Linked DNA regions of Oryzias latipes. The main gene of each other region encodes a partner of the protein of the gene in region 5 in a complex. Links are inferred from orthologs where the notes say so. Each region holds a gene or a part of one and is shown on either strand. Other genes may lie near its edges.

Region 1 (3,944 bases), on a different chromosome or scaffold from region 5:
AGCGTGAAAAAATCCCCCATCAGTAAATGGAAATGCCGGTCAGCTGCGTGACGGAGAGAACAGCGCATGCTCAGAAGTGTATTTACCTCTGAGTCATAGTGACTCGGCTGGCTGCACGTAAATATGTGTGAATAACATCAGCCTTTATTTTGTCGGGACACGACTGGAAACACAAATCCATTTGGTCGTTTTTACGGTTTCTGACTGAGCGGAATTTTGCATTGAAAAGCTCACAGCCGCCGTGTGAGCTTTTCGGATAGGAAGGGGAGACAAGGAGCCTGCTTGGCGAGCGCGGAGCGCAGAGGCGTCCGCGGAGCAACAAGTGTTTGTTGTGAGAGGAAGCTTCTGACGAACGCGCCGCGCTGAGGCGCGCGCTATTTTACTGATGTTTTTTAACCAGCCCCGTTAGTACCATAACGCTGCCGCGACACAAGTGGAAGGAGAGCTGTTCCTTTTCACCCCTCCATGCACTGCTGCTCCTTGCTCATTCTTAAACACGAACAACAGTGTGGCGAGCCGGGCGTTGGCCCCGCCTTTAGCCCCTAAGACTCATGGGAAATGGGGGATCGCGGATATAAATTTCCTCATCATAACTGAGGGATGTAATGTTGATTATATGGTTACTGTTTGTAATTTTATGTATGATACCTAGTTTGTCAATAAGTTAAAAAAAATAAAAAAACCCATAACTGAGGAACTTGTGAACAGAATAGAGGTCCATGCCGTTTCAGATGTGGGTGTAATTAGATACATGAGCTTGAGACAAGGCCAGTACCTGCCCACAGTGTGGTAATGAGCCATGCACACTCTGGTAGTCAGGATGCGCTTTGTTGAGGCAGCGGCTTGTATACTGATGCAGCTTGTGTATGTACAAAAATATTTAAGCACGTTAAAATAGGTGGGTGCGGCTTGTGATCGGGTGCGCTTTATAACCCGGAATTTACGGTAAATATAATATATATAATATAAAAATAATATAAAAATCAAAAGGAAATCCACATCTTTGAGGTTTTAGAAAACAATCATTATCTGAGTAGCATGACAAACAAAGTTTGAATATAAAGATGGATAAACTTTAGCTATATGAGAGTTTATTACACATTCATGCTCTTCATGTTCTTTTTTTGTTTCCTCATACCCTTGTCAAAAAGTAAAAATCCAATATTTTGGACATTTTATGAACTCTGTAAAACAATTTTTAATGAAAGCAGAGCAAAGTCATCTACTTTACCAAATTCTTACCTTTTGCTTTTTTGGCAGCTTTCATTATAACCGCTGACGGATCATTTGGGGAAAGCCAGGAAACCAGATCGGACTCAATGTTCCAGTAATAAGGAAGACCGCTGGGAAATGAAGAAAACAAATAACTTTAGCTGCAATTGCTTTTCATTTCAATGGTAGATCAATGACACGCAGTGATCATACTCAAACACAGCAGCGCAGCTGATCGACTTCGTTTCTACGTACCACGTCGAGTCAAACACTTTGTACCAATTTGGGGGAAGATTTTCTAACCGAGTGGCTTCATAGTCAACATTGTTGTCATCATAATCTTCAGCGATGATCTCCTCCTCTATCTCTGTTTTGTTGAGGAGAAAAAGTCGTTTTAAGCTCAGAAAAAAAGCAGAAAGTAAGCTCTGTGAGGATGTAGAATACTACCTTGATCTGAAGGTTTAACTATTCCTCTCTTGGCCAAACGGGCCAGCAGGGCTGGAGGTAGAGGCATCTGCAAGCACAGAGGAGTTAGGATTAAATGATGATGCAAATGCTGACAAATTCTTCAGTTGATTACATACGAATTCACCGATTGTGTACAGGAGTTAGGATTGCAGAAATTTTGATTAAATATAAATTCTTTTTAAAAAAAAATAAAGGTTCCATTCCAAAACTAATTATGTTCGTTCACAAACATTTTTGCCTAACTAGTGATTTAAATAAAGCAAAACTTGAACTTTAAATCAATAAAATTCAACTTCTGGCTTTAAAAGCAAAGAAAATGTTTTATTTAACCTGACAAATACAAAATATTACTTTTATAGAAAAATCAATTAATTAAATAACTGATTTGGCTTTAATTTGGCAGAACTGTTTCGTTTCAAACTAACCCATAAAAGCAACAACATAAGAGACACCCATTACCCCAAATTCTGAAATTAAACATGTTCTATGACCAAATCCAGATGTACAGATGTGTACATTCAGAGCACCTGTATAGATAAGGTATTTGAAGCAAACAAATCCATTCTTCACTGTTTCTAAACAAATTCTCTGGAGGAAAATTTTATGATAAGGTGCGAAATTTAAACACGCACGCACGCGCGCGCACACACACACACACAAAACTGTCTCAATTTCAAAGCAGCTCAAAAAATGAAACAGGACTTTTCTGAAAGTTATTTCGATGGTTCTGGTTCTACTATGGAGCGATTGATTAAAACTCTCAAACGTTAAGTTTTTTTTGTCTTTTAAATATTGAGGTTAGTGTAGCTCAGTCAGTTTTAAAATATCGATAATTAGCAAAGAAACAATATTTCAAGAGCTAAAATAATCTGCACGAAAACATGATCCAGGCCCGTTTTTCTGAACTCAACTCACAGCTGCGGTTAAAATAAATCAAAATCCCGTCATTTTGAAGTTCCTAACTATAATAAGAAACTCAATTAACCAAGTAAGCGTTTATATAAATAACAAAGAGGGGGGAAAGTCTGTACCTGTTCTTAAAAACGACTATTTCAATCGTTAAAATCAACAGACCACCACAACGAACGATGAGCCGGCGCCTGATTATGACGTCACTGCGCTTAAAAGACGACACGAAAGATGGAGGAGTTTGCGCGTGAACCTTGGTGAGATTATCTTTTTTTGTCGAATAAAACCTAAACATATTAGTTTGTCCTTTGGCTTTTATGCAATTTTGCCCTCTTGTTGAACGAAACCTGACCAGGTTGAATAGTTTCGCGTCCACCACCGAGAAGTAATCTAATTTCAACTAGAATTCTAACATTTCGCAGGTTATAAAATATATTATTTCTACAATTTATGGAAAAACGACAACATTTACTGTTAGTGCTTTAAATTAGCTTAAAACATATTGCGAACAAATGTTACATATTTTGTGACATTTTTAATTAATTGGTAGTAAGCTTGTTTATTGTTTTTCAAGCCGAAACATCCAATTTATATCCTTGTGCAGAAATGGATGTTTTATATATCACAGAATATAATGGTATTTAATAGCAATTAAGATCACAGTTACATTTATTCTATAAATCCTAAATGCAGTTTAAATCTCTCAACAACTTTCAGACATTTTAAAGAATAATCATTAACATTGTCTACTATTTCATAGATGGATGATTGTTTATTAGAATTCAGTAAAGTCGACACTTCTAGGGCTTCAGGCACACAGATCTCCTCTAAAGCTGCCCCAACTCATCAAAATGCTGACATGCTTGTCATTGAGTCATTGATAATCCAGATTGATAATAACACTTCTGAATTTAACTGATTATAGATATTAGATAGTTGTTATGGTTAACCCATTTACTTCTGAGTTCAGAGTTTTTGGAGGGATTAACAGAAAGATCCCCCACCGTCTACAAAAGGAAGACACACAAACCAATCAGAGTAAAAACATGGAGACAGAATCATTTGTTTCTCTTTTTGGTCTGCTCCTGCTCCGTCTGCTTGCTGCCCCACGCCGCTCCGTCTGCTTGCTGCCCCACGCCGCTCCCTTCTGCCTCCTTTTTTCCCCCTCGCAGCTACAAGCTCTGCCACCTCTGGCTCTTCTCTGTTCTGATCTAATCAGTTTCTCTCTGATCTGTTCCTGCTTTGTGGTTATTCCTAGTTTTGAACTTAAAGGAAGTCAGAATTCACTCCCCTTGTGTCAGAAGAAAACACTGTGGATCTGTGATCCATTATTTTGCCTTTAGAGAGTAAATCTG
Region 2 (4,220 bases), on a different chromosome or scaffold from region 5:
TTTGTGTCACAAATAACCTCCTAAAATAAAATACAAGTGTCCTGAATATTGGAAAGGATTACCCAGAACGTCCCACAGACAGTCACAGACTAGTGAAGAAGCTGCTTCAGGGGAGTGTTGTTAAGGAACAAAAACGCATTTCTGCGTCGCTGTAAATGTTACGAAAACAAACAATGAAAAGAGTATAATTCTGACTAAGAACTGCCCTTCGCACTTTTTTTTTTACTAACATGCAAAGAACAAAAGCTACTTTACGATAATGTTCAGATTCGTGGCGAATTCGCTTCGCGGACTCTCGGCTGTAAACACTGGCGGACGCTGCGTAACACCTTATTTGTTCCGTCGGAAACATTCTTTTTAAGAACAGTTCCACTCTTTAAGATTTCCTTTTATAAAAAACAACAAAACCAACAATTTCCTCTCTAATAAAAGTATTAATAAATATTCAGTATTTTATTAAATGAAATTACAGTAAAAAAGACAGGAAATATGTATAATGTCAATATGTCATTCAAAAAAAACATGCTACAAAGAATGAAAATGTGCATATTTTACTGGAGAACATCTGAATGGTGAGTGAATACTTTTTAGCTTATCTTGGCTTATTAGGAAACAATTCATATTGCAAAGAGGAATGCTGACATGCAGTGGATGGCGTTTTTTTAATCACAAAACTCGGAGATCTCGACAACTGTTAAAAAAAGGAGGAATAAAACAACTTGAGCATTCCAATAAAAGAGGAAGCCGTTTTTTTTTTTACAAAGTCTATCTTGACCAGATTGGAAGAACCATCTGGAAATTTGAGTGCATAGAGTAGCACGGGTCCTAGGGACCAAAGTCATACTATTTATCAGAGGGTACGACACTTTTGAGTTTTTCCCAACATCTAATCAATGCCTTTATGGTTTTGATCACCCTAAATCTCTTGCCTTTTCTCCCTTGTATTTTTTGGGCAGATGAACAGGGGTTTTTCTTTCCCTAGAAGTAAAAGAAAAAAAGAAAAAAAAGATAAATTAGTTCAGATTTTTAAGTTTTTTTGCATACTTCAAAGATCTGCATCGGTACTTTTTCTCACCATATAATTAGGACTGCAGTTTTGAACGATGAGCTGCTCCATGTTTTCTATTGGCTTTTTCAGGTCAGACAGCTTCTTGCCGCTCTTCAAACAGAGGACCTGCTGTGTGTTAATGTATATGGACACAAGGATGCGATGTGCCTGCCATGAGATGGCAGGAAAAAGGAGAAAACAGACAGCATTTAAAGACCTTGATAACAAACAATGCAAGTATTTGGGTAGACAAAACTTGCCAAACTAAACAAATATGTCACATCAGGGTTAAAGAAATCTCCTTTTTTGTTTTTTTGTTTTTACTTTTAATATTGTTTTTTTTTTTTTAAAGCAAAATATTTTTAAATGTTCTATTTTAACAGTTTTCTGTAATTTGTTTCCATTTTTGTTACTACGTTTACTGCATTTGTTGTGTGTGTGATTTCCGTTTTACAGCCACCAAACTACATCTAATGTACCTATAGCATTGATGCTCACCTTTGCAGAGGGGCAGGGATCTCTCCCTTTGGATGAGTTGTGAGAAACAGTCAAATTCTGAAAAACATTAGTCATCAAAAATATTATTTTAGAAATCCAGTTTCATCTCATTCAAAGTGTGGGAAAATTCGTTTTGAGGCTTTTCTTTGTGTGTGTGTTGCAAAACAAACACTGGAGGGCAGTCTCTAACCATATATTCCAACACTTTTCTTAGTGTCAGCTGTAGGTAAAAGGCTGTTGAATATAAACAAACATTGAAATTCTTATTTTGCGGTCAGTTTGGTCGTCATACCAGATTCTGCAGCTCAACGAAGATGACTTCTCTGTAGAAGCCCAGTATGTCTTTGTAGTTACATTTACTTTTACCAGATGAGTTGGCCAACAAGAGAACCACCAGGACACTGTGGAGTAGAGTTCCGGTCAGACACTGCATAAAAGAAAGAGGTGTGGAAGTACCTTAAATGCAGCCCAGTGAAGACTGAATAAAATCACTCGGCTCCTGGGCATCTTTGTATCACATGACAGAAAGACAAAGTGCACAGACTTTGGCATTAAAATGCTCTGAAATCCACTTTTCCCAAGTCATAGTCTGGTTTTAAGTCTTTGGTTACAAGTCAAATCCAAAATGTTGGAAATTATTTTTAAAAATGTGTGATTCTCACTAATGTCATTACAGTATTTTAAACCACCTAATAGTGACACATACAGCACAAAAATATTAGACCTCAATCTGTTTTTTTTTTTTAAGGTAAAACTAAAAATAAACTAAGAATGTTCTCAAGTCCTCAAAGTCTAGTCTGATGCTCTTGAAGTTAAGGTTTCAGTCTTAAATAGGCTTTCAAGTCTTAAATCCCTGCCTTTGAAACTGAAGTGAGACTCAAGTCCGAGTCTCAGGTTTAATTCTCAATCTCTGCTTTGGCATCAAAGCACTAAAACAACTCACTTTGTCACTGTGCGTGCGTAATTACGCACCAGTGCGCTTACCATTTATTATGCTCTTCAGCAGGATCCTCAGACGAGCAAACCTATGTCTGACAGTGACTTGCAGGTTCGTGGAATTAACGCTCCAGCTGCTCTCATTATCCTTCTGCTTCCTCTCGGTACTGTCTGCACTGCACACTTTCTCAGGTGCAGAGGTCAGAGCTGCAGCGGGGTCAGTCACAGCCGACGCAGCGCTGCGTCTTTCCAGCATCACCCAGGCTGCTGCTGCTGCTGCTCAATTTCCTCCCCGTCATGGACTACTGACGCTGGGTTTAGGATTTCATCAAATTCCAGTCGGTTCAGGTCGAGGAAACTCCTGCAATCAATCATCTGCCTTTGTGCTTTCGGTTTCGTTTGGAAGATAGGACACTAAAAGAGAAGCTTTTCTTCTCATCAACTAGCGTTACTTTCTAATAATAATGGTATTAATGAATAAAAGTTTAGAGGTCTAGTTTATGGTTGAATGATAAAATAAAGAAACCCTTTATTTGTGATTTAGACAAAAAAAATGAGAAACCACATTTTATAACAATAAACAACTATGGGAACCGACTGCGGGGGTGGGGGTGGTGGGGGTAACTGAACTGGTCCAGCAGAACATTTCCTACAATGAAAGTTTTTGTTCTCCCATATTCTCACATTTTATTCTGACATCTGAAAAACACTTTTATAGAAAGAAAGTTATATTTCAGCTGCATTGATGTAAAAATACAAGAATCAGCATTTAATTCAGTTTGAGAAATATTTTTTTGTCATTTAATGACAGAAACTTTGAGAACTGTCTAATCCTGTGGAACAAATGCAAATTTTATTCATGAAATCTAAATGAGATATTAGTGTAATTTAAGATCTCACCAGATAATTACTGCTGAATTGAGACTCAAAAGTTTAAAAAAAACTTTTTCTAGATGCATGAAGAGACTTCTCTTGAATATTGTAGCTGCTATGTTTAGCCTTACTTTGAAAACATCATTTGCAGATCATCGTCTGTCTCACTGAGTTTGGAGTCAGAATTCCCCTCAACCAAACATTCACTTCAGAAGGTCTGCATTGTTTGTTTGGGAGTAAAGACACAAAAATTAAAAGTTGAACAAACCAAACATGGAGTTTTTACATTGTCATTTTGCACACTCTATTGCGTAAAGTTTTACAGATTTCTTTCAAATTGCAGGGCAAAGCAGGATTGGGTCTTTTGCACAGGGGGACGGGAATGCATGCGCTAATTTCTGGCCAGAAACTTTAAGAACAGACATGAACCTCAACAAAAAAGAAGGTCTGAGCTAACTCTATCTAGACTCCCTGAACAATACAAAGGGGTGTCATTGTCAGAGGAAAAAGTTGGTCTCACTGATTATAACAGAAACAAAGTCTAAAAAATGAATTCATATTTCTGTTTATTTACTTAATCCTTGGTGATCCATAAGTTCAAAGATACTTCTAAGCTCTTTGAACCTTCATGGCTTCATGCTAATAAGAAATATAGGAGCATTCAGGTCAAAATTAGAACTAAAGAGAGACAAATGAAACAATTTGTGTTTATTTTTGGGGAGTGGGATTATACCGGGTGCGGCGTAGAAAAGAGAAAAAAAAATACATTATTTCTAGCATGATGCCTCATGTTAGCAGAAGTTTGAGATGCTCCGGTCAAAACTGAAATTTCACAAGAATCAAAAATATCACAGAAGAATCACCA
Region 3 (4,048 bases), on a different chromosome or scaffold from region 5:
GTCAGAGTCGTTTTCATGTAGCTTCACCAACCAAACTGTATGTTTGTTTTCTTTAAAGGAACAAGGATGTTGTAAAGTATTTTTGTACAAATTTAATACTTTGGTAGCATGAGGTTCCTGGTGTTTGTCCCAGTCCCGTCAGCCTTCATTCACCCCCCACCTCCCACCCCACCTTCTGTTTTTTTAATACTGAGCAACAATAAAGTGAGACGGGAGGCTGTGACTCCACATGTGGTCTAACATTAGCACATGCATTCAAACGTGTCTGTTTGGGTTTCCTGTCATGTATATAATGTTTCACATTAAACTGAACTAAAGTTTTACATTTGTAAAAATCTCTGAGTCAAAATCTTCTTCAGGAAATCTTAATTTCTCTCTTGATCATCCGAGGTCGTCCAGGACGCAGAACAGATGATCAGGTGAGGTTCTTCAACCGGCCTGGTCTGAATGTTAAAATGGAGATACGTCTCCATTTATATCCCATCATCCCTTTGTTTACGCTCTCTCCCACTAGCTTACAGCCCCTCACAACCCCAACTTAACTTTACTAGTGTAACCGTACAGCAAGCAGTATCAGAGCTTGCCATCCATCCAGGTCTGATCCAGATTCCAGTTCAGACCAGGAGAACGACGACGTTCATGGATCTGGTGGATGATCAGAAAGGGGCGGAGCAGGAAGGCTGTGGCCCCGCCCATCTTTGTTGCTGCGTAACAACTGGGAGTTTTTTTCAAATGGCATTTTTTTTGCTACTGATTTACGATTTTAATAAAGAAGTACTTAGAAACGCAGTTTTATCTTAAATAATTTTATATATGCTCTCCATTACGAGAAAAATGCTACAAGAACATGTTAAAAACATCACATCAGAGTGGGTCTTTAAGGAGAAACTGAAAACTAGGCTAGAATTAGTTTTGGATCCTAAACCGTTAAGAGAAACGTGAAACCGGATAATGACCACATCTAATGATTGGTTCTGATGATGCTGGAATGTGTGAAGTATTTGTTACAAAAATAAATTTTAAGAAAAACAGCCTGAAAAGTTCAGATTGGAGCTGTCATTTCATTTAATTGTATGATTATTTGTTTAATTAAGTTCTTTAAACAAACACTTTTTAAAGCAGATTTTAATAATGTGTGAATGTGTGAGGATGGAAATTAAAAGTAAAGAACAGCTCAAAAACAATTTCTCCAAACTCCGTCCCAGGTGGTGACACTAATGCGCCAGCAGGGTGTTTGCTAACCGCCAAAAGAAAACACAGAAGAAGAAGGAGGACATGCGCATGCGCGCTTTGACGCCTCAGCTCTATGAATCTGTGTGAGATTAGCTGAGCCTGGCTGTTGTTAGCTGCCGCCGTTAGCCTGTGCGGTGTTTTTGCGGGTTCTCTTAGCCTGTTTCAAACGCAAGTCTTCCCGCCAGCTGGATAAATAAAAAAGGAGCTCCGGACAAACATGTCCACCGCGCTGGAGAGCTACATCAACCGTATCCTTCCGCTGCTGCTAGCGGCTAACAGGCTAACCGCCGTTTAAATGAATGGAGGGCTAACTGCTAGCTTAGCGCGCTAACGAAAACTCGTGTTTTGTTAAATATAAAGAGTGTAATTTAAATGTCTATTTAGTAGGCTTAACTAAATTCATCTTTAGATTTCAAACACTGTTTATTTTGTGCTTTTGTTCGGGTATCGTGCAAAAATAAGAATTTGTAGCCTTTTGGGTTATTTTCAGCAGAAAGTTTAAACCAGATTATTTTTCTTATCGTTTCCTGATTATTATTCATCGATCATTGGAGAACCGGGTTTGTCAGTAGAAGTAAAGAATAAATAATTAGGAGAAATGCTCTTTTATATTTCCTTAGATTATTCCTAGAGATTAAAGAGATTTGCATGAATCTCTTTAGTTCTGGAGGAGGATCTCCTCACAGGAACCAAAACATTCTGAGAACTTCATGATGAATATCAGGAATTCTACTTCTAAACCGCTTTTATTTTCCCAGAGTTCATCTTTTTGAAAACATGCTGCTGGTTTCCCCGCGTGTCTTCAGTGAAACTGAATCTTATCTTACAGATTCGTGCTAATTTCTCCTACATCCCATAATTAAATTCGTATTTAAATCAGCTGCAGAGAAGTTTGTTTTGCTGAAAAGCAAACCACAAAAAAACAGTAAAAAGTAACATCACACTGACTCAGTTTAATCAACTCCAATAAAAATTGTGTTTCTGATTTCAATTAGGCAGCAGTGGATGCAGTTTATTCTCAGCAACAGAAAAGCAGCTGTGAAGGTTTTTGTTCTTTGAGGCTGAATCTGTACAGCATGTTGTCTTTTCCACCAACCAGAAGTCGGGGCGGGGCTTCGGTCACCTGGGCTCAGTTTTTTCTTAAACTTTTTCTCTGCTGGTATCTGGAGTCCAGGGGACTTTGGATCCGACACTTCGCTCTGAACTCAGAGGAAAAGCTGCTGTAGAGATTTTTGAGCTTCCTAGAAGCTGTGAGGTGATGATGTGTTCTGGATGAGTTTCTTTGACCGATGCTGGCTCAGGTACGGTGGCCATCGTCACTTCAGACGGCAGGATGATCGTGGTGAGTTCAAATGCTCCTCCTGTCCTCGGCTGGATCCGCTCTTTTCGGTTGGAGCCCAGCCTCATTTTCTCATTTCTGATTCTCTTCAGGGAACTCTGAAAGGCTTCGATCAGACCATCAACCTCATCCTGGATGAGAGTCACGAGCGCGTCTTCAGCTCCAGTCAGGGCGTGGAGCAGGTGGTGCTGGGACTCTACATCGTCAGAGGAGACAACGTGTGAGTCTGAGACCGCCGGTCCTCCCATCAGAACACAGAGAAACAGGAAACAGTTGAAGACAGTTGAAAGGACATTTGATCTGAAAACAGCAGGTAAAAGCAGCTCAGCAGCAGAGTAGAGCGTCTACCTTCAGCCCGTGGGTTCGAGTCCACAGGTCGACAGAATCCTCCCCCTCCAGGGGCAAAGAGCCGCTCTGATGAAAATGCTCTTCTTCTTGTAGAGGTTTTCTGATGATGGAGGTCATAGATTCAGATCATTGAGATCAATTTCTGAGTTTTTCTTTAATCAAATTGTTGTGAATCAGGAGCAGACGAAAAAAATGCTGATGGGAAAAAATTACATTTATAGCGTAGAAAATACTCTGGGCGGGGCCACAGTCTCCCTGCCCCGCCCCTTTCTGATCATCCACCTGCAGACCAACAGATCCATGAACGTCTGTTCTCCTGGTCTGAGCTGGAATCTGGATCAGAACTGGACGGGTGGACCTGATGTTGCTGCTGTTTTTGTTGTTCCATTAATGTTAAGATGGGGGGGTGAGGGGCTGTAAGCTAGCAGGAGAGAGTGTAAACACATGGATGATGGGAAATGAAGATGGGCTCACTCTGCACTGCGAACCATCTGAAAATAGATCAGAAGCTGGTGGGAGTGGGACTTTAGCCCCCCAGCGGGCTCTAAAGGTCATTCTGACGGCGTGGCGATTCTTTTTTTCCTCATCAGAGCGGTGATCGGTGAGATCGACGAAGAGACCGACTCCACGCTGGACTTGGGGAACATCCGAGCCGAGCCGCTCAACTCTGTGGTTCACTGAGCTCACCGTCTCCACGGCAACAGTGGACTCAGGGGGAGGGGTCTGCTGCAGCGGGAGCCGTGGAGATGAAGATCTGAGGGTGATCAGAGTCTTCCTCCTCCAACAGACTGTTCTGATGTTTCCACGTTTGTATTTTTATAAAGGAGGTTTGAGTCACGGTCTTCATCTCCAACAGAGAAAAGTTGAATAACGTTGGATTTGATTCTTTTCATTTTGCTTTAAGGTGAAACCAAGACTCAAAAAAAGACTTGAGTTTGTTTTAAAGCACAAAGTTCTGCTTTTCTTCAGCTCCATGTTCTCGTCTTTCAGGGAAGAACAAATAAATGTGTGAAAATGTTTTCCTTTTAGAGCTTCTGTTCTGAAAACTTTATTAGCTATTTTTTTTAAACAGACGTTTATTTTATTTAGATATTTGCTTTGCTTTATTTGTGATCATGGAAACTTGAA
Region 4 (4,275 bases), about 7.6 Mb from region 5:
TGAAACCGAAATTTTTTTTTTCACATGTTAGTCTTTATCTAAGTAGAATCAGATTATTTGGTGCATTTAAATGAAGGCAAACACATGATAAAACGTTGATTTAAGCTTTATGGCAGACTAATAAAATGTGTTATTTAAAACGGATTGAAAACAACTAAATCACTGATTTCTTTTTTCTTTCAAAATGTCAGAAAGTTTTTACCTTAAACACTGAGTTTTTATAAAATGTCAAACTTTTTTCTTGCCATCTACAGTAGAGCCACGTAGCAGCTGAGATTTCAGACTTCCTGTTAATCTTACAAAACAAAACCAAGGACACTCTGCTGGTTGTTGTTTTTTTTAGAACAATCCAAATACCTTGATGTCATTGTCGATGCCTCCAGACAGGATTTGGTCGCTGGTGTCATTAAACGTCACGGCCAAAACTTGGTAGGTGTTCTGGAAGGTGTGAATTGCCGCCTTTTTACGGATGTCCCACAACTGCAGTGACGATTAACAAAAATACAATAAAGCAACATTTAAAAACTTTGAATGGGACCTCAACAGTTGAAGCATTCAGAATAAATAACTGCACCTAAAATAAAAATGTCACACCTTTATCGTCCCATCATCGCTGCCGGTGCAGACCAGTTGTGGCCCCCGGCGAGCTGGGTAGCAGGTGTTAACAAAGGAAGTGTGACCTTTCAGGCGCTTAATCCTCTCCCCTGTTTCACTGTCCCAAATGCCCACGGTCTTGTCTGTGCTTGCCGAAAATAACAAGCTGGAGGCACAAAAATGATCCAGTCAAATTTTATGGAAAGGTTATTTAAGAAATGTAGATAGTTCCAAGTCCTAAAATTTACAGATGAACATTTTTTTTGTTCCATAAAGTTCCTTAGTTTTTGAAATCAAACTAAGACTAAGAAACAATGAGAATATGAGCTTTACTTTCACTGTAAACATAACCTAAAACAAGAAAAATGTCAATTTAAAGGTGAAGTTTAAAGATAAAATCTACAGCTTTCTTCCTACCTGCCATCTGTGTTGTAATGCAGCTCCATCACAGCTCCACTGTGGCCCTTCAGGGTGGCGTAATTTTCACACTCCCCAAAAACGTTCCACAGAACTGAGGTAAAGGAAGTAAGTGAGGAACAAAGCAACAGAAGAAGGCCGGGAGAACGGCAGCTTGCCTCTTTTTGCTTACATATGAGTCGGTCGAAGCCAGAAGACGCCAGCGTGGCTCCATTTGGATGAAATTTGCAGCAGTACACCTCGCCCTCGTGGCCCGACATCAGCATGATGGGAGCTTGCAGGCTGGAGGTCCGAGGAGGACCCTGGAGGAGAAAGGTCAGTTTAATTTACTTTCTGTTTTTTTCTTCCAGATTTAGTCCAAGTGAAATCTAAAAAGAAAACAGGCATGTGATAAAAGACAGATAAATAAAAGTGCGTTTGGGCTTAATGTGCCACAGAACGCTTCAGAGTAAAGTCCACAAAGTTTAATGCAAATCTGCAGCAGACCAGTGAGGAAATGGATCATTTGTAAAGGATCAAATTGATCATGTGACACAAAGGATCTTGCCACCCTATGGTGGCACACTTTCCATGCAGGGGCTTGTGGTGCAGAGGCAGAGCGGTCCACCTGATCACAAATATCGCAGGTTAGGTTCCACAAATGGGTGGGCAAGGCGGGAACCTAACCTGCGATATTTGTGATCAGGTGGACCGCTCTGCCTCTGCACCCTATGGTGGCACACTTTCCATGCAGGGGCTTGTGGTGCAGAGGCAGAGCGGTCCACCTGATCATGAATATCGCAGGTTAGGTTCCCGCCTTGCCCACCCATGTGTGGAAATGTCCTTGGGCAGGACACTGAACCCCACATTGCTTCTGGTGGTTATAGTTTGGCGCCAGTAAGAGAGCGAAACCGCCATCAGTGTGTGAATGTGTGTGTGCATGGGTGACTGTGAATGTGACTGTTGCAGGTGATATGTCATGCAGATTTTTGCAACATCAAAAGATGATTGCTAAAATGAAACCCCAGTGTTTAAAAGCTATTTATTTTTTACAATAGAAAAAAAAGATTTAGTATCTATCCTGTTAAATATCCTATAGTTTTGTCTCAATAATCAAAATATCTACTTACAGAAAAACATCTACAAACTGGAAAAGGTTTAAATACACAAAACTCATGCTTAATAAAAAAAATAACATTTTTTAATTTTCTATCATAACATTAGCCTAGGATTTGTAACCTGTTCACGGTTCACCCCGGAAACACCCATAACTGGGAAAGGTTCCTTTACCATCAGTTTGTTGATAACAACGGGATTTCGAATATAATACGTATTTTAAAGAAGCAACATTACATCCAAAAATTAAATATCCTAGCGAAAACTCGTGTTGTTATTCGTTGTCATGTGTTCTCTACGTCAAGAAATAATAGGTGCACCACAAAAAATGTCGTGTTTGAGTAAATTTTAGATTACATCATTTAAAGCATGCATAATACAAATGCGGGTCAACACCCGTGTGTATATATTTTCTCTAATTTGAGTTTTTTTGTGTGAACGTTGATTCTTTTCGTACCGTAGCCACGAGTTGCTGGGACTGTGCCGCCGCCACCAGCTCGTTCCGGGCTCGCTTCACAGCGGTGGGAATTACCGCCATGTCTCCCGCTCTTTTCTTTGGTTCAATCATCCCGAAATAATTGCAAATAATCGACAAAAATAAGTTTGTTTGTGACTACGGTTTACCGAATGACTATTTGCGCCTTCATGGGAAACGAGAAAAGCGTAGCACCAACGAAGAAATCAGGATGAAGTGTTTCCGGTGAGTATGAGCTGTGTGATTGGTTTAAACATCCATCTCCTGCTGTGATTGGCTGATGAAGACGTTGTCAGCGACAATGCACCGGAAGTACAACAATCTGAGTTCAGCTAACCACACGAAAGGTAATATTTTCATCCTTTTTTCAAGACTTAAGATACTTTTTGCGTGATTTTCCTTATCGTTCTACCACGACAAACGCCTATACTGTTCATGTCTGAGCTTTTGTCTTTGAACTGACGGTACAAACCGTAAGAGGACGAAATTATAAGCTAACCAAATTCATTGCTGACTTGTCTTGTTGTCAACTTAGATTTTTTGTTCGCTCGATTATTAAAAAACAACAACTTTGAGCTAATTTTTACATAAATAAAATTAGTAATTATATTTCTTTGGTACCGGGAAGTTAATGCTTTATTGCGACAGGTTGGCTTCATCGTAGTTTAAAATGACACGAATGACAATTTTCATTTTCAACCACATATTTGTACAAATAAATATCCCAAAAGGCACAAGGTCATTCTTTATTTGCAAGAAGTGAACAGCACAGCAGAGGTTAAAAATTTACCGAACTCTTTCTGTCAACCACATTACCTTTGAAATTAATTCATTTTCTTTTATGACTTTCGTTTGGTGAATTGGATGAAAGAAGATTGCTGTTTCATTTCCTCTCCCAAATTATGTAGAAATCTAAGAGAGGCAGTAAGTTGTCTTAAAGGGAAGAGTTTGGTCGGAAACCACGAAGATAAAGGGATTGCAAGTTTTCACCTCAAGGTCTCTGCTCTCTGAATTGTCTGGGCATAAACACTGATGGCAAATCTATCCATTTTGTAAACCCGTTTTGTCCCTTTCGGGGTCATGGGGCTGTCAGAGCCTTACCCGGCCACTCGCATGTTTTTGGATGGTGGGAGGAAGCCGGATCTCCTGGAGAAAACCCACGCATGCACAGATTTAGAGTAAAGCGCTAACCACTTTGTCACAGTGCAGCCCTGACCGCAGATCTGTACAAGGCAATGTATGCCACCTTAGTGCTGACTGATTGAGGAAACATCCAGGGGTTTTCTCTGAAAACTCACTTTACTGTTATCATCTCTAGTTACATAAAAAACCTGGTCTCCAGTTTGTATACCAGCTTCAGCTTGTACCAGACAATGCAACTACTTGGTTTTGGGAAACAGTACTGGTATAAAGTTGGCACATACCGATTCTAAACAGGTACTTATGACTGTGGCAGAGCACCTCCTCACTTGTGGGTACCAAAATCTCAAAACTAGAGTAGTTTGAGCAAAAAAAATCTAGGATGAGCATAAGAGATTTGACATTTGTGTGGCGAGCTCAGCTCAAATTAAGGGAGTGATAAACAGGCTGTAAGATTTTGAATAGGAGAAAACTCACTAAAATAGAATTTTTACTTTCTCTGCTCCACTTGAGTGTACACTTTTTTTTAAAGAAATTCACTTGACAATCTGCCA
Region 5 (4,017 bases):
TTAGTTTGACAGCACAAAGATCCCCGTTTTTTGGGGAAAAGTCCTATCATGAAATAAAGTTCTTTTAAGGTCATTTCCTGTTCTTTGTTCCACAGATGATCTCTATAGCAACACAAAAGTGTCACATAAGTCTGTTTGATGGGCCGTGTCCCAATACTGCCCCAGGCCACGGCAGGAAGGAGCATTTGCATGTGATGCTGGAGACTGGTGCATACGTGGAACTGCTATGATGCCACCTACCGGACAACTCTGGCAAGTGCACCCAAAAAAACAAAACTGGAAGTTGATTTGATTTAGACATAATCTCTAGTAAGTATCAACAGCCGCTGTGAGTCACTGCACTTCCTGTGACGTCTTTAACTGCCATAGCAAAATGATTTAATGCTGTAAAGTTTCAAAACAAACTCAAACATTTGAGAAAATTTCCTAAATATATTTACATGAAAGTCAAGTTTATTTTAATAATCAAACGTAAGATTGTTGACACTTTTATTCACAAAAATTCAAACAAGCTTCAAAACTGAATAAAACTGATGAGAAAACAATGAGACCAGTAGCTGGAATATCGTCCTCCTTTGCTGGAAAAGCAGAGTTTCTTCTGTTTGTCATCAACAAAACAAAAATACACAAAAAGGGTAAAAAATGGTTTAAAAAAAGTGAGAATCAGTATCTGTATTTAGTAGAATAATCCTTGGGAGAAACAACCAGACCCCGTCCTTTTCTGGCTCCTCGATACACCGTTTCTACAATGTCAATCATCTCCTGTTTGTCCTCCATGGGCCAGTTGATCTTGTTGTTGTTTCCAGTTCCCAAGTCAATCATGATGTGTTTGTTCCTGGAAAACAAACCAAAGGCAGGAGCGTTGGACATCATATATGATATGAGGACCTGTGTTCCAGTGATGAGGGTTCCTCACCTGAAGAAGAACATGACGGTGCAAGGATCGTACAACTCGTACATCTTGTTAAAGTCGGGCACTTCTGTGATGTCTACCAGGTAAATGACTGCAAAGTTCTTCACCTGAGAAGACAAAGGTGGCGGTTACTAGAACAACAAGGATCTGGACTTTGATTGCTGAAACCAAAGCTGTGACTTTAATGAAGGTTAAGGAACAGAAATTAATCTCCAAAACAGTCAATAAGATTTAGAGGAACATTAAAAACTAAAACTTCATTTTAACGATTCAATTCATATCATAATTTGTGGCTGCTGATCAGATTCATAATCGATATTTGTTTATTTTGAACGATCTGATTCTCTGGCCTAAGATCGATCCAGAACATCTTTATCCAAAACTTCAACCAGTGTGACTCAGAGATGAATACCTGGATACTGAACAGTACAGGTGACGTTTTCCAGATTCCTTATATTTCTTCAAGATAATCAAGTTTAAATTAATATGTGTACAAACAAACAAGTAAACCAGAATGAAAGTCAAATCCATTCACATTTTAGTTTCCTAAAGTTCAGTCCACTGTTGTTTTTCCACATCCAAAGAATCCTAAGGGAACAATATTACAACATTCTACCACACTGTCTGGTCACGTCTTTGCTAAATTCATATTGTTTCCACACATTGGACTGTTATGATGGTTGATCAGTTTTTGCTGACCTCACATGTGTGTTGTCCACCGTGATGCAATTGGTCGTTATTACATTACAGTAAAATAAACCTACCATGTCTCAATCCTAATTGTATTTTCCAATTTCAATTCTATTATCGATTTATCTCCTTTTGAAAGTATTTTAAAATGGTAGAGGCTGATTTGATGAGCTACTTGCCTCAGACAGATGGATCTGGTAGGTTCATAGGAAAAGAAATCGATTCGTCAATTAAGAATCAGGAAATTCCTGTTTTATCTGGAGCTTTTTGGCTGTTGTGGTGATGTTTTTCGTATGAATGTTTCTCCAAAACGCCATTTCTCTGTAAACCCTATGTATGTTGGTGCAGTGGGGTTTGTCACAAACTGCCGTCGTCTTACTGTAACCTGTGATTCAGTTAAATCTTCAGGTATGATCCTTCTTTCAGCAACTAACCAGAGAAGAGGGTTAAATCCTTAAATGAAATCTTTAAAGGATGACTGCAGACATTCAAACTGTTTTCTCTAACTGCTAAGCTTTCCTTACCCATTGAATATTTTCTCATGTTATGCATTTATTATCAAACTTGTTAACAGTCAAAAGCAGGGGGATTTGGGGACCAAAGGAAGGTGCAAATAATTTTCCCTTTTAATACTGTAACCAGACGAGCCCTTTTATTTTTCCATAGAAATTATGGTGCACATAAGAAGCTGATCAAACCTTTTCAGCGATACTATAAAGAACTTCATCCATCTTCATACACGTTGGGTCCCAGTCGTGTCCGAAGCGGATCACCAGAACTCGGTCTTCCTCAGACAGAATGGCCTGGTCCACCTGCCAGCCGTTATGGAGATGCGGTAGCATGTACGACATCTTGACCTAAAGATGGAGAATCCGAGACCGCCCCCGACCCAAAATTCTGAATGATAATGTTATCTTAAAGTGTTAAATAACCGCGGAGAAGAGGAGGTTGATGAATGCTAATGCTAAGCTAGCTGAAGAAAAATCTAGAAATCATGACAGCGAAACTTTAGAAGATGCGGAACCACAAACATGAACGAAAGAACCTTACCTTGAATTAGCAAAACTAAGTATAATGAAATAAAATTAGATTTCTGCTTAGATAAAATTACTTTGTTCTCTCAATAAAGAAAAAAAAATCTATCTTCAGCATCTAGAGCTCGTTCCTAACAACGTCACAAACTCGCGACGTCGTCGCAAAATGTCTACGTCAACATCCCACAAACCTATTCAGAGAAAACGTATTATTTTTTGTTCCTTTTTGTCCTATTTTATGACAAATCTAGTATTACTTTAACTGATGTTGACAAAAGTGAACAATTTAATAAAAACTACATGGAAGGCTTTAAATCGAAAGCAGGCTATGCGAAACCAGTTATTAAAAGAAAGATTTAGGTTAAAATGTCAAATTTAACAAGAAAATGAAACACTACATTCGGAAAGATAAAGGAAAGTAGAAAAATGTATACTTCTTAACACAACATCACCCCTTATATATTTCTTTATGTAGATCATTTTTCCCCTCTTTGTAGGATGAATAAGATTTATTCTACGTTGCCACATTTTCAAGGAAGAATTGATAGACAAAGCATTTTCACGTTTAATGTAATTAAAACCCCAAAAGAAAAATCATCCCATATGATCAATTTTTGGATGCCCTTGTTCCTCTAACCTTTTATGGGTAGAAATAATAGCTTCCTGTTAGGGATGCATGTGTACATGCACCACAAGTGAAAAACAAATGTTTATGGACTACTGCTTGCACAATTTTCAAAAGACAAGTAGCTGCACAGTATAGTTCATTAAGATTCAGTAAGTAAAAACGATTTTGACGCAAAAAAATAACTTGTAAAATCAAAACCCCCAATAATGATTTACCTTTGTATTTTCAATGTTTTATTCTCTTGTTGCTCCTTGAAACGAGTGTTACTTCCGTTTGAAAGTAGGCAGAGATACAGGAAACGGTTTTAAGCAGGAAAAAACACAGATAAAAAATTTATTGTGCAATTCATTACAGTACAAACAGAAAGAACGAACACAGTTCAAAGGTTATAGGAAAACTTTCCAGTCTTTAACATAGCAGCACATTATGGCACTCCTAAAGAGAGTTCAATTATCATTAGATACATCATTTTAATTTCCCCTTTAAGCTACACAGTCACATCTCTGTGGTTTTAAATGGACACATGATTCATAAAATCCAACTATGTTACACGATCTTATGTAGGACACATGATTGTTTTACAAACAACAGTGATAGTCAGCTTCCGGACTATCGTCAAACACTGCATTCACTCTTTAAAGCTGATAAAGACTGTTTTAAATTTGTTTTGGCTGTTTTTCATATTGCACAAAATCAGCCGTCTGGTCAAGTCTCTCAGCAGTCACATAGCGCTCAAACCCCCTTTCACCATT

What was found. Proteins that work in one complex are often made in the same cells at the same time.
Region 1: the proteins of txnl4a (region 5) and pqbp1 are in contact, whole or in part, in a crystal structure (PDB 4BWQ), measured with the Homo sapiens proteins. The link is inferred for Oryzias latipes from reciprocal best matches to the Homo sapiens genes TXNL4A and PQBP1. Residues at the interface, in NP_006692.1 of Homo sapiens: Gly11, Trp12, Val14, Asp15, Ile18, Asp68, Phe69, Met72, Tyr73, Glu74, Met82, Phe84, Asn87, His89, Met91, Gly97, Asn98, Asn99, Asn100, Lys101, Leu129; in NP_001027553.1 of Homo sapiens: Gln241, Gln242, Arg243, Pro244, Tyr245, Pro246, Ser247, Pro248, Gly249, Val251, Leu252, Ala254, Asn255.
Region 2: txnl4a (region 5) and aar2 share a complex: the UniProt entries of both Homo sapiens proteins name them as parts of the U5 snRNP complex. The link is inferred for Oryzias latipes from reciprocal best matches to the Homo sapiens genes TXNL4A and AAR2.
Region 3: txnl4a (region 5) and lsm8 share a complex: the UniProt entries of both Homo sapiens proteins name them as parts of the precatalytic spliceosome. The link is inferred for Oryzias latipes from reciprocal best matches to the Homo sapiens genes TXNL4A and LSM8.
Region 4: txnl4a (region 5) and snrnp40 share a complex: the UniProt entries of both Homo sapiens proteins name them as parts of the U4/U6-U5 tri-snRNP complex. The link is inferred for Oryzias latipes from reciprocal best matches to the Homo sapiens genes TXNL4A and SNRNP40.

The regions. Positions count from the first base shown.
Region 1 is NC_019865.2:21,319,562-21,323,505, forward strand, and holds the start of pqbp1 (polyglutamine-binding protein 1), read right to left. Parts: upstream 2,801-3,944; 5' UTR 2,712-2,800; intron 1,727-2,711; coding exon 1,660-1,726; intron 1,580-1,659; coding exon 1,468-1,579; intron 1,344-1,467; coding exon 1,243-1,343; intron 1-1,242. Other genes in the region: timm17b (mitochondrial import inner membrane translocase subunit Tim17-B), read left to right, coding at 2,821-2,846. UniProt on the Homo sapiens protein: Intrinsically disordered protein that acts as a scaffold, and which is involved in different processes, such as pre-mRNA splicing, transcription regulation, innate immunity and neuron development.
Region 2 is NC_019865.2:15,451,661-15,455,880, forward strand, and holds the start of aar2 (protein AAR2 homolog), read right to left. Parts: upstream 2,801-4,220; 5' UTR 2,531-2,800; intron 1,974-2,530; 5' UTR 1,839-1,973; intron 1,604-1,838; 5' UTR 1,547-1,603; intron 1,217-1,546; 5' UTR 1,076-1,216; intron 979-1,075; 5' UTR 1-978. UniProt on the Homo sapiens protein: Component of the U5 snRNP complex that is required for spliceosome assembly and for pre-mRNA splicing.
Region 3 is NC_019881.2:23,243,759-23,247,806, reverse strand, and holds lsm8 (LSM8 homolog, U6 small nuclear RNA associated), read left to right. Parts: upstream 1-1,248; 5' UTR 1,249-1,450; coding exon 1,451-1,481; intron 1,482-2,534; coding exon 2,535-2,575; intron 2,576-2,664; coding exon 2,665-2,792; intron 2,793-3,510; coding exon 3,511-3,601; 3' UTR 3,602-3,948; downstream 3,949-4,048. UniProt on the Homo sapiens protein: Plays a role in pre-mRNA splicing as component of the U4/U6-U5 tri-snRNP complex that is involved in spliceosome assembly, and as component of the precatalytic spliceosome (spliceosome B complex).
Region 4 is NC_019869.2:21,982,921-21,987,195, forward strand, and holds the start of snrnp40 (U5 small nuclear ribonucleoprotein 40 kDa protein), read right to left. Parts: upstream 2,801-4,275; 5' UTR 2,675-2,800; coding exon 2,564-2,674; intron 1,314-2,563; coding exon 1,184-1,313; intron 1,106-1,183; coding exon 1,012-1,105; intron 761-1,011; coding exon 595-760; intron 481-594; coding exon 358-480; intron 1-357. UniProt on the Homo sapiens protein: Required for pre-mRNA splicing as component of the activated spliceosome. Component of the U5 small nuclear ribonucleoprotein (snRNP) complex and the U4/U6-U5 tri-snRNP complex, building blocks of the spliceosome.
Region 5 is NC_019869.2:14,391,663-14,395,679, reverse strand, and holds txnl4a (thioredoxin-like protein 4A), read right to left. Parts: upstream 2,801-4,017; 5' UTR 2,654-2,800; intron 2,461-2,653; 5' UTR 2,455-2,460; coding exon 2,302-2,454; intron 1,021-2,301; coding exon 917-1,020; intron 836-916; coding exon 664-835; 3' UTR 473-663; downstream 1-472. UniProt on the Homo sapiens protein: Plays a role in pre-mRNA splicing as component of the U5 snRNP and U4/U6-U5 tri-snRNP complexes that are involved in spliceosome assembly, and as component of the precatalytic spliceosome (spliceosome B complex).